2 linked regions of the Arabidopsis thaliana genome follow. The protein of the gene in region 2 interacts with the protein of the main gene of each other region in a biochemical or structural test. Each region holds a gene or a part of one and is shown on either strand. Other genes may lie near its edges. The genes, in order: La1 and AT5G62440.

Region 1 (5,178 bases), on a different chromosome or scaffold from region 2:
AACCTAAGATAAGAAGCCCGAATTAGTTTCAGAACCCAAAACAAAAACCTCGAGAAAAAAGCTTCGAACATCATCTGAAGAAAATCGAAACTTTATACGAAAAAAAGTAAGAGAAGTTCAAAGAGTAGATTTTTGAAAAATCAGGAAGAAGTCTCCGTGAAAACTAACAAAAATGTGACCATAATAAGAGAAGGAGACGAGGTCATACGAGTAAAGCTCACACCTTGCAGATCAACGAATTCCAAAATTAATCTGAAGTAATTAAGACGCTGAGAATCCAGATGAAGAAGAAGAAGAACACAAATCGAAATCGAAGTCGAGAGAGAGAGAGAGAGAGAGAGAGAGAGAGAGAGAGAGAGAGAGAGAATGAGAGAGAGAGAGAGAGGTATTCAAAACTCAAACATGGAGAGGCGGACGGAATTCGAAGTGAGAGAGAGAGAGAGAGAGAGAGATCAAAACAAAAAGGAAAGTGATCTCAGCCGTTGATTTCAATCTCTGAATCTCGCTTTTTAGTCTCTCATATCATAAAAGTTCAATTTATTTATTTATACGTTTCTTCATTCATTTTTCTTTCGAGATTCTCTGTTGCTTCTTCTTCTAAACAACGGCAAAGCATTCTTTGTATGAAAGAAGAGTTTTTTTCTCATTAAAAAGGAAGAAGATGAAATTGCCAGTAACAGCTAATTCTAAAATCAGCATAAAAACCTAATAACAATGTAGACAAAGTCAAACGAGAAGACCAAGAAGAATACCAAAACTATTTGATTTTCAAAATTAATTTTAACTACTTCAAGTAAAATAGTGTCATCATCAGTGAGTCAATTGATACAGTTGTAGAATTTACAGGAATATACTTTTAGCAGTTAATATTAATAGTTTGTCTTTTAGAATGCTTCCTAAACATCGATTTAAAATAATTAAGGAAAGAGATGTGTGCATAAGAAGGCACATAAAGCTAAACAAAACAATACCAAATATGACTAAACCAAAATTTGCCAAATAAGCAGCTATTTCTAGTTATAACATCACGAGTCACCAGTCGATACATTAAATTTAAAGTTGCAACTAGAAATATATTGAAAAACAGAAGCAGTCACGAGCGAAATCTCTCATGCTTCCACCTTCTGAGATTTGTTCCAGCGACCACCCGGTGAATCTGATCCCCTCTTTCTCCCGAATCTCCCTCCTCTTCTTCCTCCCCTGCATAGACCAAGTATATTATTATCTGAAGAACCAAACAAAAACTTCATTTGAAACAAAATCATAACAAAGAAACCAGAACAAAAACATGAACTCACCTTCCTCCACGGCCACCCTTGTCAAACCGATCTTTGCTTCGTAGGAGAGTCCAATACTCCTTTTCAGCTTCGCCTGACAGAGAGCAATATAAACAAGTGACCATTTAACTAAAGCAGAACACAAGGTTTAGTTATAAGATAAGATTGAAGTTGAAAAGGTGTTTTTACCAATAACAGGTTCTAGGACAGCAATAAAATTCTTCACGGCTAGTCCACCTTCATTGGCTAATACTGCTGCTGCACGGGCTTTCTGGGATGCTTCAGGTTCATCAAACCTAAGATAACCCGTCTCAGATCCCATCTTGAAATCAACAAACTTCACAACAAAAAGAATAAAGGAATCAGTGAAAATGATGTCAGTTATATGAGATATTGAATCTGATTCATGTTGACAGACAGCTAAGTAAAACTCAAGTAGTACCTTGACATCACCAAATTTTCCGAAAACAGCCTTAAGATCTTCACGTAAGACAACATCCTTATTATCTTTATGGGTGGCTAGAGCACCCTTTTCTTCTTTCTCATCATCTTCATCCTCTGCTCCCTCGGCCTGAACCTCACCAGTGTTTTCTTTATCAGCATCAGGAGTATCTGCTGGCTTTGTTTCACTTTCTTCCATTGTCTTATCAGTTGGCTCCTCAGAACTTTTTTGTTCCGTGGTACCCTCTTCAGCTGAACGCTTGAGGGTGAATGAAATGATCAAACCCTTGGGATAACTACAATACGATAAAATAGCCATAATCAGATCAAGAGGATTATTAGCATGAAAAGACAAGTAATTAGATAGCAACAGTCAAACCCCTACTCTGGCTCATAAGCAGAATTGTTTTTGTGATCAGAACCATTCTTCTGATTTGCAGATCCCTTCTGAGGTTGGTAATTAGCAAATTTTACTTCATCCTTCTCCCTTTCATTATCAAACTCTTTCCTGAAAAGAATATATCACCTTTTAAGTAACCCATCCAAACATTCAATGGAAAGACTTGTAAAATGAGAAACAGTCAGCAAACAGGACATGTTTTCATGTCTAAGTATGATTACTTTGGTTTCAGCTCCAACTCCTGACCAGCAAAGACCAAATTCTGCTTCATAACATTCTGGGCATCCTCTTCTGTAGGGAACTCAACCAAGGCAACACCAGAAAATATCCTCGACTCTGCAACATGACGAGGCATCCTCACACTATTAACCTGCAAGGACGACACATACATATACCAAAAACTTGTATAACCAATCTAAATTTTGAACAATGGCTTATGATTCAATCGATAGTGGATTACCTTTCCATACTGACTGAAAAAGGATTCCACGTCTTCCCTTTTAACATCATAGGAGAAAGGTGACGCAGCTACTGTTCTAGCATTAAGTTGCTCAATCAAATCTTCCAGCTTCAACAATTCAGTACTCCTACCAACCTTTTTCCCTGTTTAAGAAAATCCAACAAAATTGATCACTAAACTGTACAAAACATATTTCTCCAATCTGACACCACATATTATCAAACTTGTAAAATCCACATGCAAAGACTTTTCTTAATGAAACTAAGTTTAAACTATGCACTACACAGGCCATTCACCTATAATTGAAACTCTCAAACTATTATCTTTCTTCTAAGATATCACTACTTCGTTTGAATCAATTAAAGCAATTGTTAACTATATCCAAACCCAACAGAAACTTGATTATATCATGAAACTCACCATCGTCAGAAATCTTGAGAGCAGAAGAGGTTCGAAGAGTATCAGCAACAGCTTTGATGGTATCTTCAGGAATATCATCTCCTTTAGAATCACCCAACTTCAAATATCCTCTCATCTTACTAAAGGAGCAAATCAACGCCAAACTCACCACTATTTGACAAACCAAAAAATCATCAATTAGCCATAACAAAAAAAAATCAAAATACACAGCGATAGCGACTGAATTTGTTTAAAAGTTTAAAACTTTACAGCCATCTTCGCTCTCTGTAACAGTCTTCTTGAGGAAATCATCAATGGGTAGATTACTATCACTGAAATAGAACTCCACCTATAAAATCGATATCAAATATCAGAACATAATCGAAAGAAAAAAAACTGGTGAAGCTACTAGAGAGGAACCGCAGAAGAAGAAGAAGAAGACAAGTTTGTACCTGGCGAAGAACAGTTTTGGCTGTCTCTTCGGTTAGACAAGGAATCGACATAATTGCTCAATGGCTCGAGCGAAAGATAGAGGAGGAGGAAGATAGAAGAATAAGAGAGAAAAAGGGTACTAGGGTTTATTGAGACACAGTTTCCATTTTCTCTTAAAGTTTTCGAGTCAAATTGTCATTTATTTATTTATTTTTTGGTTTTTCGCTATTGATTATATTTGTATTTCGTATTAACCCTTGACTTTTTTAATACTATCAATTTAACCCCACCCACTATACTTTAGAATGTAACAAAATTACCCCAAATAATCCTACACTATCTGATTCACCCCATTACGTCTTTTCGTTGGCAATTGATCAATATTTTCACGATTTTTTTCAATGATCAAGATCAAGACTTGAACCAAAAATTCATACTTCAATCAGCACAACATTTGTATTTTTGAGTCGTGAAAACACTACAAACTCTATCAACAATTCTTATTTAGTTGTAAAGAGATATATTGATTATAGAGTTACAGCTTACGTTTGTTTTGGAGTACAATGAGATTGACATTCGCAATAATGTTTGTACTTGTGTAACATAACAACGTTATTACATGTGCAGCTAAGAAACTTTTTTTTAGATTGATCAGTCATGTATCTCATGCACAACTTTTCTCCGTCTTGGCTACATTTACCGTCCAAGTCTCCTATCGTTGTACACAGTTTCTCAGCTTCCACTTCTATTGTTTTCTCAACCACACAAACCAAAAAAAAAAAAAAAAACGTTAATTTTAGTTCGATTAATAAACAAATGACAATCCAAATAAGTTCACTATTAAACCATATGTTAACGTTGTAACAATGCTTTTTATTTCCTTTAATCACAACACCGTTTTTGCAATTAGAAAGAACATCCTTGTTTTATATCTTATTATATACGAGTTACGTCCATACAAAAAAAACTCAACATATTACCTTTACCACCTCTCAGAACGAGTAACATGAGAGTATAAGAAACTATAAACCAAATAACAGATCTCATGATTGAAAAGCTGATAAGAATTATTAATTATCTCTATAGTTGCAGAAAACTATTGTTTGCCTCTCGAATTTTTTATCTTTCTTATCAACAACACTCATAATAAATATATTCGAGATATCGTAAAAATAGATGCATCTTTTTTTAGAATTTGCTTTGTAAAATTCAACGAGCCTTCTTAATTAACGAGTTCGACGGATCAACTCTTTCTTTTTTGGAAAAATTCTTCTTTGTAAATCTACTTACTAGTATTATATATTTTTCACTTTTTTTTTTTGCGTGTATTGTGATGACGCATCACCTATTCTTTTCAAAATACACAGTTCTAACCTTGATAATCTAAACTCACAAAATCCATAAGACCATTAATTTACAATGTTTAATCCATTGAAAATTAATCTATAGACAAACGTTCAATCTTTATAAAACAAATTTATGGTTTTCTGGGATCAATCCTACTAGCAAGGAATAGATGAAGCAGAGATGCTATGGGAAAACATTCAGGTTGTGTACTGTGTAGGATCAATCAACTCGACCGTCGTCGATCATTTGACGATAGGCCAAGGATCCAAAGGTTCACACTACTGTTCCCGAGGCTTCACTTGGCTGATGATTTTTTTTTTATATGGTTATGTTGTATGTGGGGGGAATCATCGAGAGACCTCATCCAGGATGTTATCCTTAAGAGACAGAAAAGCTTAGGGAGTGAACTTTTTTTGGTATTG
Region 2 (4,580 bases):
ATTTGAAAACGATCTACACTTTTTGGTTTGGAGAAACATATACCCTTCTTTTATACACAAAGATTAATCACAACCATTAATAGAAAATCAATTATAAAAAAAAAAACAAAAAAAAAACTTCACAACCATATAACATCCATTGACGAATTTCATTAAGTGAACGGTTGTACGTTAAGATAAGAAGACTGCAGAAGAAGGTAATAGATATGAGGTGCTCTCTCATTGGCTATTACCAAAAAGGTCTCTGCCACATTTTATGATTTACCAAACTCTGCCTTTTTTCCATGTCAACTTCTACTGTAGGTCCCTTACTCACCTGCATCTTGGTCAGATCATAGATTTCACAAACTGATTGTGTTGCAGTAAGATCGTAGTTAAGAAGCTTCCTAAATCTAAGAAGGCTTAACAAAACAAAATTTGTTGCATCTTCAAAAGACAATTTGTGTATGTGTCTATTTGTATATTGTGTAAGAAGACAATTTGGAATATTAATCCGAATACCGAATATCGGATAATGTTTCTTTATAATTCATAATGTGTTTCAAAATAATCCATTATTCCAAGACGTGTGCCAACCAGTGTTATCACTTCATGTAATCATTTTTTAGCAGGGTTAAGATTTAAGACAGCTTTAGTTTGAGGGCATTGTCTTTCTCTTAGAAGGGTCGTAAACGGTGAACATGTCACACACAGTAAGTTACCAAAGTCAAAATGTCGGTTTTTCATAACTTCCCCAATTCTTTTTATTTAACATTATCATTTAGCAACCAGATCAACACTACACTATCAATGGAAAGTGTTTTTTTTTCATCTAGATTTTGATTTGAGTTTTTCGTTTTTGAATTATTGGTTTTTAAAAACTAGATCAACCAGATTTTTAGTTCTATTGACGCGTCTGTGTTTTTTTCTGATGTTGTCAAGATAGTAGGGACAATATTCTTCTTCTTCAGCAATAATGGGTTATATAAACTGACAATTTTTCTCCAACAAAAAGCAGTTGCATTAGACAAGATCATAACTTTTAAAGTTTTTGGCAAAAGAACTAAATCTGAAATTTTCAAAATTTTCTTTTGAAATAAGGCATCAAGTGTCAGCATATTCATCTTCTGAATCTCCCTCCTCTACCACCACCACGACCGCCTCTTCTTCCACCACCGCCACCGCGACCTCCACCATGTCCATTGCCGTTAGCTCCAGGAGTCTTCATGTTTTCAGGCAATGGGAGGATTTGATCAACACACTTCCTGAAGCTGAAATCGTCTGCAGTATCGTCTTCCCTAACCAGAAAGAAGCATCTGCTTTTCCACATTGGGTGGGTTCTTACTTGGAAGGTTTTGATTCCTCCTCCAATCTTCTTTTCAGGCTCAGAATGGCCCTTCTTAATCAGATCTAGCAGCACCATGTGCTCATACTGAAATGTACAATCCAGAACAAAGTTCAGTACAACGAGTTAGTTAGTTGGAAGCTCAAAAGAAACTGCAACAACTGTAATATATTACATGACTATGCAATGTTTTATCTTTTATTTGTGCCCTCAAAATTTGACATTAACTTCATTCTTCTAACCATTATATGACATCAAGACCCAAAAAAACTTTCTAATTCACACACAATCCACAATCATATAATCAGTAAGAACACGATACATTTGAACTTTTCAACTAGTAAAAAAGCTGCAAAGGAGTCCAATTTACAAGCTATCTCCACTTCACTAATCCTCTCCCTAAACATAATACAATATCCACAATCATCTCCCTAAACATAATACAATATCCACAATCATTGTAAACAACCACTAATTTGAGACAAAAACAAAATTCTAACACCAAACACTGAATCCAAAATCAAATCATATGACCAATACAAAGGCGAACCCAATTCTCAATTTCTTTTAGTTTAAATACAAAGCACGATCATCATCAGATTCATTGATAAAACATCTTCCTAAACACATCACAGAACTTAATAATCACAATCAGAGCTCTTAGATTAACCTATATAAGTCTCGAGCAAAGGAATGAATATTTCCAAAAAATTTGAAACTTTACAATAAACAAAGCCAAAAGACAAAGACGAAGAGTAAACCCAAATATGTATTACCTTATTAACATCGAGATCAGTTGGCCAAAAGTGTAAAAACTTGACAAAGTAATCGAACATCGCCACAGAGGTAACAAACTCCTTGGGACCAAGTTTAACCGGACCTGACTTCTCTTCCTCTCCAACCTTCTGCTTCTTCGATTCACCTCCGTTCTCTTCTTCCTCTGTCTCCTCTCTCTCACGTTTCTCATCGCCGGTCTCGGCTTTCGGGGTCGCGGTTTCGACTTCCATGTCCACTTTCTGGTCTGGGTTCACTTCCGCTGACAGGGAATCGACGATCTCTTGTTCTTCAGCCATTGTTAAGCTAGTAAAGCTTCCGCCTTTTTTTCACCTTTCTACGATTTCTAGGGTTTAAGCTTGAGGGTGTGTGACCTACAGAAATCGTCTAAGCGGTATATTTATATGACTTTGGTTTCCGATTGAACCGAACTGGTTCGGTCTATTTGATTTTTTGGCTCGACGGCATACACTACATGAAAACCAGGATTTTCAATGTAGTAACTAATTTGTCGTCATTGATCTGTCCAATTATTATTTTTACGTCTCTTAAATCTTTTCATTTTAAAGTCTACATTTTTCTAATATATTTTTTTATTAATCATCTCAAGATATTTTTTTAGTCTACAAATTACTTTTACTGTTGTAGAAAATTTGGATAATAGTCAGTAATTCTAAATAATAGAATAAAAACTCAAATCTTAATATAATAGTTTAACAAATAAATCATATTATACTTTTTTTGGATAAAAAATGTTGATATAATTTACAATGTTATTAAAAATAATTTTTGGGATACCTAAACGTTTTAGATGTTCAGTCTGTCGGGATATCTTGGAGACTTAACTTATTGATCAATCACAATTTTTGCCAAAGAGGAAAATGTCAAAGTCAAACGAACATCTTTTGAAATTATTTACATCTCGTGGAATTAATGGAACTTCTTAAATTTTTCAAAAATTTGACATAATTGGAATATATTTTTTTTGCTTCTAGTCAATCTTACCATATTATCTATCAACAGTCAAACACCTCAATCTTAAATTTTCTAAAAATAATGGAATTATTTTATCGTATTTTGGTAAAGAGTTATTTTTGTAATATTATCTAAAATCTAAAAAGAACCAAGATAGATAGGTACAAAAAAAAAAAAAACTTTTTTTTGTGAAAATCTGATTATCATAACGTTACCGTGTCAAATCGTCAACCTCCATAACTCCGGTTTTGTGTATTTAATTATATATTTATCTGTTTACACGCGCTTCGAAATTTTGATTTACTTATCTGAATATTTTTCCAGACCGAACATCAAACAAGAAAACACATTTGTCCGAATTTCATCTTGAGAGCTGTTTGTGCCCTTCAAGAAATCGAAAGAGAGCTTCTTTCCCCCATTTTCTGCGATTCACGATATTTCTTCTTCTATAGGTAATCATAATTTGATCATCTTCTCTTTTATCTCTTTTTTTCTTTCATTTTCTTCTTGGGTTATGGTTGGTTGATTCTGCTATTTGGGAATTTTGATTTCTGTGACTTTTGGGGTTTCAATTTCATTCCTGAATTGTGATGGAATCGAATGGTATCTCTCTTTTGTTTTCATGGTTGAGATGTGATTCTGAAATTTGGGGATTTTCCGATTAGGTTTATGTCTTGAAAATTTGGGGAAATTTGGAGACAAAGACATATTTTAAACTCAGATCCTAATCTCTTCCACCAAGACATTTTCCCTGAATTGTTCCGCTTTAATGAAATGAAATCGATTGTCTGAGCTCAATTATGATGTTTCGATTCAAAGAAATGGAGATTTTTGTGTTGATGATGGAACATTTATCATTATAAGAGTTATGAGATTTTTATTTTGAATCTTTGGATCTTTCTTGGTTTTTAACAGGACAACGTTTTTTTACACATTGAGGCTAAAAGAGAGATGGCTGATGATCAGAGTTCAAGTACTGACCGTCTCGTGAAACCTGAAAGTTTAAACTCAGATAGAGGATCCAATCAATCTATTGAATCTTCTGGAGAGAGTTCTAGAGCTCAGGGTTCCACAAGCCTGTCTACTACTAAATCTATGGATGGTAAGAAAACCGAGGAAGAAGAGACAACGGAACAACGCGATGTTGATGATGAAGAGGAACCGCTCATCCAATCGGTTGAATGTCGTATATGCCAAGAGGAGGATTCCGTTAAGAACCTCGAGTCCCCTTGTTCTTGTAGTGGCAGTTTGAAGGTGATAATTTTATCAATGAATCTCATTGTTTTATTTGTTTTTGTTGGTATCTTTCGTTTAAAACAGTTCTCATCAATTTGGTATTTTGTGTCTATAGTATGCTCATCGTAAGTGTGTTCAACGTTGGTGTAATGAGAAAGGCGACACAACCTGTGAAATATGCCACAAGGTATAATCAAATCACTAACAACATTTTTGGTATAATCTTTTGGTTACACCGAATGCAAGTTTATATAACTGTTTTTTCTTCCTT

What was found.
Region 1: the proteins of AT5G62440 (region 2) and La1 form a complex in vitro, tested with the Arabidopsis thaliana proteins (one study listed by BioGRID).

The regions. Positions count from the first base shown.
Region 1 is NC_003075.7:15,785,615-15,790,792, reverse strand, and holds La1 (La protein 1), read right to left. Parts: upstream 3,600-5,178; 5' UTR 3,481-3,599; coding exon 3,430-3,480; intron 3,327-3,429; coding exon 3,248-3,326; intron 3,149-3,247; coding exon 2,999-3,148; intron 2,722-2,998; coding exon 2,579-2,721; intron 2,489-2,578; coding exon 2,340-2,488; intron 2,227-2,339; coding exon 2,104-2,226; intron 2,015-2,103; coding exon 1,720-2,014; intron 1,615-1,719; coding exon 1,467-1,614; intron 1,372-1,466; coding exon 1,299-1,371; coding exon of another isoform or gene 1,295-1,298; intron 1,201-1,294; coding exon 1,110-1,200; 3' UTR 797-1,109; downstream 1-796. Other genes in the region: SCRL24 (SCR-like 24), read right to left, coding at 3,952-4,154, 4,390-4,456. UniProt on the Arabidopsis thaliana protein: Binds to the 3' poly(U) terminus of nascent RNA polymerase III transcripts, protecting them from exonuclease digestion and facilitating their folding and maturation.
Region 2 is NC_003076.8:25,071,521-25,076,100, forward strand, and holds AT5G62440 (EMB514 (DUF3223)), read right to left. Parts: upstream 2,550-4,580; 5' UTR 2,398-2,549; coding exon 2,101-2,397; intron 1,412-2,100; coding exon 1,100-1,411; 3' UTR 597-1,099; downstream 1-596. Other genes in the region: AT5G62460 (RING/FYVE/PHD zinc finger superfamily protein), read left to right, coding at 3,674-3,676, 3,989-4,327, 4,425-4,496. UniProt on the Arabidopsis thaliana protein: May play a role in ribosome biogenesis and in determining the rate of cell division. Involved in a process essential for nuclear and nucleolar functions.